Danio rerio: one gene and its partner. The protein of the gene in region 2 binds, or shares a complex with, the protein of the main gene of each other region. Links are inferred from orthologs where the notes say so. Each region holds a gene or a part of one and is shown on either strand. Other genes may lie near its edges. The genes, in order: tnpo3 and cpsf6.

The links.
Region 1: the proteins of cpsf6 (region 2) and tnpo3 are in contact, whole or in part, in a crystal structure (PDB 6GX9), measured with the Homo sapiens proteins. The link is inferred for Danio rerio from reciprocal best matches to the Homo sapiens genes CPSF6 and TNPO3. Residues at the interface, in NP_008938.2 of Homo sapiens: Tyr521, Arg522, Glu523, Arg524, Ser525, Glu527, Arg528; in NP_036602.1 of Homo sapiens: Arg620, Asn656, Arg657, Glu660, Arg661, Arg664, Arg667, Phe668, Arg671, Ser698, Cys699, Tyr702, Ile706, Asp709, Asp747, Asp750, Asp751, Arg754, Arg758, Gln761, Cys793, Arg797.

What each region holds. Positions count from the first base shown.
Region 1 is NC_133179.1:14,176,175-14,180,004, reverse strand, and holds part of tnpo3 (transportin-3), read right to left. Parts: intron 2,503-3,830; coding exon 2,390-2,502; intron 1,872-2,389; coding exon 1,811-1,871; 3' UTR 1,779-1,810; intron 1-1,778. UniProt on the Homo sapiens protein: Importin, which transports target proteins into the nucleus. Specifically mediates the nuclear import of splicing factor serine/arginine (SR) proteins, such as RBM4, SFRS1 and SFRS2, by recognizing phosphorylated SR domains.
Region 2 is NC_133179.1:2,380,955-2,384,784, forward strand, and holds part of cpsf6 (cleavage and polyadenylation specificity factor subunit 6), read right to left. Parts: coding exon 3,796-3,830; intron 3,412-3,795; coding exon 3,238-3,411; intron 2,640-3,237; coding exon 2,156-2,639; intron 183-2,155; coding exon 67-182; intron 1-66. UniProt on the Homo sapiens protein: Component of the cleavage factor Im (CFIm) complex that functions as an activator of the pre-mRNA 3'-end cleavage and polyadenylation processing required for the maturation of pre-mRNA into functional mRNAs.

The DNA of each region.
Region 1 (3,830 bases), about 12 Mb from region 2:
TAATTAAACTTTATGTTTATAAATGGGAATATAAAAAGAGTAAATATATCAACTTTTACTGAGATTGAATTATCAAGATTGGATGGGTGTTGGCCTGATTGGGTAGCTTTACATGGACATTTACATTAATACCCGTTTAAAATGATTAAAGATCTACAAAGCAATATTTCAGTGAATTTAAGACTTTAAGGCCTAAAATGTAAATTTTGAAATTTAGGACATTAAGACCCCACAGATACTCTGGTGAAAATAGAAACATCCCAATGAATGTTTTAGGAGAAAACAAGTCAATGAATGGGGGGGAGGGTGAAAATATTGGATTCGTTCGAGTTGTCATAGGTTGTTATCATTTTTGCAACACTTTATTTATGCCAAAGATGTTAGGTGGGCACACATACATTACCAAATCAATGCTTTTAATTAAACTACTTTTATAGTGATAGCTGCTTTCAAAACACTGCTTCAAGAAGCTTTGAAACCTTTCAGAATCTTCCATTTCGAATCTGTGGTTTTGGAGCATGCATCAAATTTGCAAGTTAATATTTAATGGTTTTGTTCTATAATATTAATGGTAATATTCTAACATTTAATGATTCTCCAGCTGGGGGTGATCTGTGTAATGCCATAAAGGCCAGTGGTAAATTACTGAACCTTTTTTTTTTGCTTTTAAAAGTTTGAAGACATTTGTAAAATGATTTCCCAGTGCTGGGTTGCAGTTGGAAGGGTATCGGTTGCGTTTAACGTATGCCGGAAAAATTAGCAGTTCATTCCGCTGTGGAAAATGAATGAATGCATTTGTAAATTGAAAAGGAATAATAGTTACTAGTCTCTTCTCTTGTTGGCCTGTTCAGCAGAGCCCACCATGCAAAAAAAAAAATCTATATATACGCCTTTAAAATGTGTATTATGCAGACAAGTTTGTAATAACACGTTTTTATTTATTATTTTGACCACCGGGTCTCTCTAGGTGTTTTAAATGCTTCGAAATACATTTTGCAAAGCAACTGGTTCAACTTTTTTGAAACGAAATCTTAATTTCCTCCATCACTATTGTTTCGTCCACATTTACTGATAAAAATGTATAAAAGTCTAGCATTTTCAAATGGAAGGGATACTCATTTATGCTGCGCACTGTGTTTGTATTCACTTTATACATTAAAAATCATTTGAACTAGAGCTGCAGGATATTAGAAAAATCTGATATTGCAATATTTTATTTTTCTGCGATAAGTTTAACAAGATCTAGTTTAAAAAGCACTGTTTGACAGTTTTTCTGGCGAGTCTGAACAGTATTCAGGTACAGAAATGCAATAATCCCAATGCAAAACATGCTTTTCTTATTTTGCTTAGTCTCATTTCTAGTCCAAATATCTAAAAATTCTTAGATCAAGTCAAATAGTTTTGTTTTCAACTTTGGAAATTAGGCAAAATTAAGAGTTTTTCCTTAAAACAAGCTAAATTAAGTCAAATAATCTTGTTTTTGCTCTAAAATGTGAATATTTGGACTAGAAAAATATTGAAAAATAAAGAAAAACTTTTTGGGGGGGGATAAATCGTATACATTTCTATATAAATGCAGTAATTAAATCAATTCTGAAGCTCCTGGTGAACATTATTCAGACTCATCGAGTATCTCGCGATTGGTGATGCACATATTGCGATGTCAATGCCGAAACAGTATATTGTGCAGCCCTAATTTGAATAAACATAGAAAAGACACATTCAATGTTATGCACAATACACTGACAAATTGTTTCATTTTCCTCTCTCTCTCTCACCTGGTCTTGCAGCATCAGCAGGTAGAAGACAGCTATCGGTACAGCCTGGTAAACTCTCTTATGGCCCAACAAACCTGTTTACATTCCTCTGCACTATGGTGACAGATTTACAGAAAGGCAGAAAATTATCATCACATTTCAACAGAACTAAACAACAAGATGGCCTGCTATTTTAAAATCAACTCGCGAGCACGCCATAAGCATGCGCGAGCAATAAATCAGTCATTTTGGCGTGGGTTGGACTTTCCACGCAAGTCTATGACTCATCCTGCACTCACTATAAGAGTTTGTATTTGGCATCTCAGGTCAAGACTTGCAGAGGAACGACATACTTCACCCTCCTGGACGACTGGTTATTGGTGCTTGTTTAGGCTTGTTGTGTAGAGTAAACCACAGAGTAATCTGAACGTGCACTAACTTGCAATAGGCCAAGATACAAATGCTGCCTGTAATCTACACTGATGAGTCCCGTATTACTTTTAATTGTGGACAACAGCTCTTTTAATCATGGCCATTTTGTTTGGGAGTGTAATGTAATTGCGATGAATGCATCCTAATGCGTCTGGTGTGCTTTGAAGAGTCATTGTGACGGCAGGAACAGACGGACTCACCTCGTGACCTGCTTGTGGAAGTCAGTGAGCTGTTTGTGTGTGACGGTGACAGCGCCCCCTGCTGTTTCTTTAGGAAGACCCTTAAGTGTGGTTTCCAGCCAGCGACAAAACGTCTACAAGCACAGGAAAGAACGTGTATGAGCATTTTATAATATCACAGACTCATTTATGACAAAATAATACATATTAAAAAAAATCTACAAATGTATGAAGTGGTTTAAATAGGAATAGTGACAAAAAGGATCAATAAAAAATGGTAAATACAAATAAAATATCATTAAATTAGATTTTAAAAAAAGACAAGAAAAATTCAGGATAATTTTAATATTGCTATGAAAAAATATTTTAATTAAAAAAACTGATGAAATATGTATAATCATATAAACCATTATAAAACTCAATGAAAAACCTCATAAAAAACTAAATCCTTCACATAACTAAATATACAGTACATAAAATAAAGAAAAAATATATTTTTTCATCTTATTCATTTTATTTAAAATATTTATCAAAACTAAATTAATTGATTAAAACAAAAATCAAAAATCTTGAATGTAATAAGTCACTTTATATAAAAACTACCAGATGAAAGTCATAAACAGAAACCTTGTATATACATATTTTGTCATTTTTTTCGTCCATATTTTAATGTCATTCTTCACTCTTTATGTCTTCCTGTGGGTTTCACAAATATTTAAAATCAAAGAAAAATGTATTAAAAATGAACAAAAATGTATCCTACTGCTAAAAATGCTCCAAGTATAGTTCACCCACGGCAAAAAGGTTTAAATGTCCAAGATATTTTAGCCAAAATCGAGCAGCGACATAGCTTTAAGAACTTTTAAGTTTTAAGAAATAAGTTTACAACAAGTGTACAAGATATTTTAGCCAAAAACTGAGCAGTTTCAAGAGGTTTTAAGCCAGGGATGTCAAACTCAGTCCTGGAGGGCCAGTGTGCTGGAGAGTTTAACTACAACCCTAATCACACATCTGAACCAGCTAATCAAGCTCTTACTAGATAAAGGCTGCGTCCAAAACCACCTACTATGTAAATATATTACTCGGTCATTAGAAAAGTACAATCCATACAGTATCAATGGAATTGGACGTACTACATCCATCATTTTGTCATGATCACATGACCTACCCGATGAGTTGCGCCGCTTCACTCCCATTCATGAATTCTCTCGCTGGGGATCATGGGACAGTACATCGTGCATCATGCAAATTTCAGAATCTCACCGGAAATAGCAAGTCATCCGGGTACTTCTTGCATACTGATTTTCAAACTCTGACATACTACTCGGCTCCCATATTGTTATTACCATACCGAATAGTATGGAAGTATGCGATTTTGGACGCAGCCATACTAGATTAACTAGAAACTTTGTTGAAGTAAGTTGAAGCTAAACTCAGCAGGACACTGGCCCTCCAGAACAAA
Region 2 (3,830 bases):
AACGGAAACGGTTAATTCACAACACACCACACCTCATATTTGTGCTGGGTGTAATGATCTCCACACCTGCACTGGCATCAGAAACGGCCCTTGAAATAGCGCTGCTGGAAATCGCTCTGTTCCGGTTCATGATCTCCTCAAACTCAGCTTCGCTCAGGGGAGTGCGAGACGCATCCATGTCCCTGAAGCACACAAAATGCTGATTAATGAACACGCGCAAACTAAAAGCACGAGTCAGAGCGAAGCGTAATGCTTCAGGGATCGAATTCACACAAAGAGCTGCAGTGGTCGTTAGTGCTGAATCACATTGCATCACATGTTAAATCAAAGTGAGGCACAGACATTTCAGCAACTAAAAACTAAAGCGACACCAAAATAAAAGGAAATACCATCCAAATGCAAGATAGACAGGTTTAAAAAAATAGTTACGTTTCACGTATGTTTTGTGGTATTTTTGTTGTTTTCTGCTTTGCGCTCTTCTCTCTCTCTCTCTCTCTCTCTCTCGCAGTGGTCCTATCCTGTTTCAGGTGTGCTACCATTGGTCGAGTGAGCTGTCATTCACCTTCGTCACTCAATCGGCGCTAATAAGGATTGGGTCCGCGCAGTATAAAACCGGTGCGCTTGCGCTGTTCTGGAGGAGCGCTTGGCCTGTCAATCTCTCAAACTGTTGACTTGTTTGTTCCGCTTGGTTTGTTTGCGAGTGCTGTGTTCTAGTTTTCTCTTTGTTGATATGGATTTATCAGTTAAACTTGTGCTGCTCAGGTTAATGTATAGTGAGAATATGAACGATCTTTATGAGAATTGGATTACCTGAGATCTTGTTTTGCTAATGGCTAACAGTCTGTACTTTACAAGAATTCTAGTATTTCGAGCAGCTTAGTATAACTTTGTATTAGTTCGTTTTTGGAGGCGTTGCCTCATGTGTAATTATGTTTGGGAGTTATGAAGTTTAGTTAAGCTACGTGCTGAAGATTACTGTTTTGTTTCTGCATTTTTCTTTGATCAGTCAGTTTAGTGGGTTGGGGTTTAGTTAGATCGTTTTGTTATATTTATTTCTTTGTTTTGGCAACACTCCTATTTTTCTTTATTTAATTCAATTATTTAAAATTACATTTATCTTCCATCTCATATTCATTGTTTGACATTATCCATTAATAAATACTTACTTTTTGTTTCACTTATCAAGCGTTTGTGTCTTCTCCTTATTCACCCAGCATCAATGGACTCACTGATTGTTACGTATCATCCTTTTAATTATTTAACATCATTAACACGTAACAATATATAAATACATTTAGGAGTTCACACTTAGACAATGCTTAACTATGATAGCAGGTTTGGCATGCTGTCCCAGGAGAGAACCTGAATCTCAAATCGAAGAGCACAAGGTTCCCGTTTGGTCAATGAGCATTAGTTTGGATAGGAGATCGGGTATTCTTCGAGAGCCCTCTCGTTTGTTTTATACTATGGTTAATATGGTGGTTCTGACTGATTCAGTATGTATGCGTTAAGTGCTTATGACTTTACAGTTCGCTTATGTACATGTTTTAAGACTGTTGGAGGAAACCGGAGTACCCGAGGAAAACATACGGGAACACAGGGTGAACATGCAAACTCATGGCAGAGAGTAACGACTGGCTCAATTAGAACTTGAACCTTTGGCCCTCCCACTGCGAGGCAGCAGCGCCAGCCATTGAGCCACCCTGTTGCCCTATCATATAATTAACGAGGAAGGAGAAGGGAAGGATAGAAGGGGGTTTGCCAAAAACGAAGACAGGGAACGGAGTTTAGGCAGGATATTCATAGTAGTTTTGGAATGATCTGATAGGCTAGCTAATGATCAGTGATGAGGATCAGCTCTAGTTGATCATATCACGTGCTCTTCTAGAAATTAGTTTGTGAAACTTCACTTATTTTTTAATATTTATAAAATGTTATCAAGTTATGGCTGTCAATATTAAAATGTAATGTGAAATGATTAAATTACATCTAAATGTGCTTCCAATGAAAAACAATTGAATGCATATTTGCAGTGTTATCTGTTGTAGTGAGCATGCCATCACAGCATACTATAGTAAGACTGTTCATTTAACTGTGCACATACACTTCGGGCTTTTTAGAGTATAGGTGTAGTTGTGGGCGATGTGTTTATTACCTGCCACCAGGGAAGTCTCTGTCATAAGGAGGTGGGCGGCCGTACGGGTCTCCAGGTGGGGGTCCTCTGCCGTCAGATGATGGCATGTTGTTTCCAGGTGGTGGGAAGAAGGCCGGGTTGACGTGAGGAGCCGGCGGTGGGCCTCCAGGTGGGGGTCCCTGCATGTGTGGTGGGGGTGCGAGGCCAAGCGGGGGTCCTAAGGGCCCAGGTGGACGGGGAGGGAAGGGTCCTGGAGGGGGTGGTCCCTGCTGAGGTGGAGGGGGGCCTGGGGGAGGCCCGTATCCTGGTGGGGGAGGCCCAGGAGGCATCGGGCCCATTGGGGGTTGCCCGAACTGACCAGGAAACAAGACAGGTGGAGGAGGACGGTCTCCTCTGTTAGGGGGTCCGCCGAGGGGAGGAGGCAGACCTTGTCCAGGTGGAGGGGGGCCTGGAGGTCCCAGGGGCCCAGGTGGGCCAGAGGGAAGACGTGGTGGGCCCTGCATACCTGCAAGAAGATTTGATGCATTACATTTTGAAGCAGAGAGGAGAAGGGATTACAAAAATACACATGAAATCAAAACTAACCGTATGATTTTGGGAGCTCACACTGCTAGTTTTGTGGTGAACATTAAACATCACCCATTCTTGATTTAGGACAATTGATCAACTTTTTCTGATTCACTTGAAAAGTGACCCATTCACCTCAGAGCATCAGTTTTCAGACCAAATATTGTTGCCAAATATTTGTTATTTCCTTATTAATTACTGATCTCATTTCATTCCTTCCCAAAGGTACTTTAACATCTACTTGATTTTTCTTCAATGATTCTTTTTGCCAATTTATCTGCCAATTTTATTTCCCATTATTCCAATATGTGCCGGTCCACAACAAAAATGTACATTTTTACCCTCTACTTTAAGTCTGTATAATGTTGTAGAAACTTGCATTATTAAATCTTCTCTATCAGTTGTTATAGATCCAACAACTGATAGAACAAATTACAGTCCTATTTGTTTCCTCCCATTGCAGACCTATAATAATAGCTGTTAGTTCTGATGTATATACTGACAATTCAAAAGTTCACTCCTGTTCAAGCTTATACCTGGGAAGTGTGGTGGAGGACCGCCAGGTCCAACCGGTCCAGGGAAGCGGTCTCCTTGTCCAGGTGGGCCAGGAAAGCGTCTCTGACCTTTGCCAGGAGGGAATCCTCCACCTCGAGATCCTGAGCCTGGAGGACCAGCCTTCCCCTCTCCTGACATCTGTCCTGACTGTGTGCCTGCGTGGACCAAAACACACTCTTCTAAACTGCAGCACACATACAGCAACGCTATTCTCATTCAGTAAGTTTAAAGTCCCCGTGAAATCAAAATTAACATTAGATGTTAGTTTTAAGGATATCTATAGTCTAGTGTGCTCCAAAACAGTGATAAAATTTACATTTACAAGATAAAAACATAAAAAGTTGCAGATTGTCACTTTATCTTAAATGGATTTTTTTTTTTATCAAATCTGCTGGCCAATCAAATGCATATATTTGACACGTCCCACCCATCTTTTTAAGGGGAAGGAGCTATTCTATGTCCCACCCTGTCTTCACATTTCATTGGAAACTACATCACACATCAAACAAAAATGCACATTTCAAAGCAATTCACGGGACCTTTATGATAATGTGAATTGTCGAATCCTCTGCGC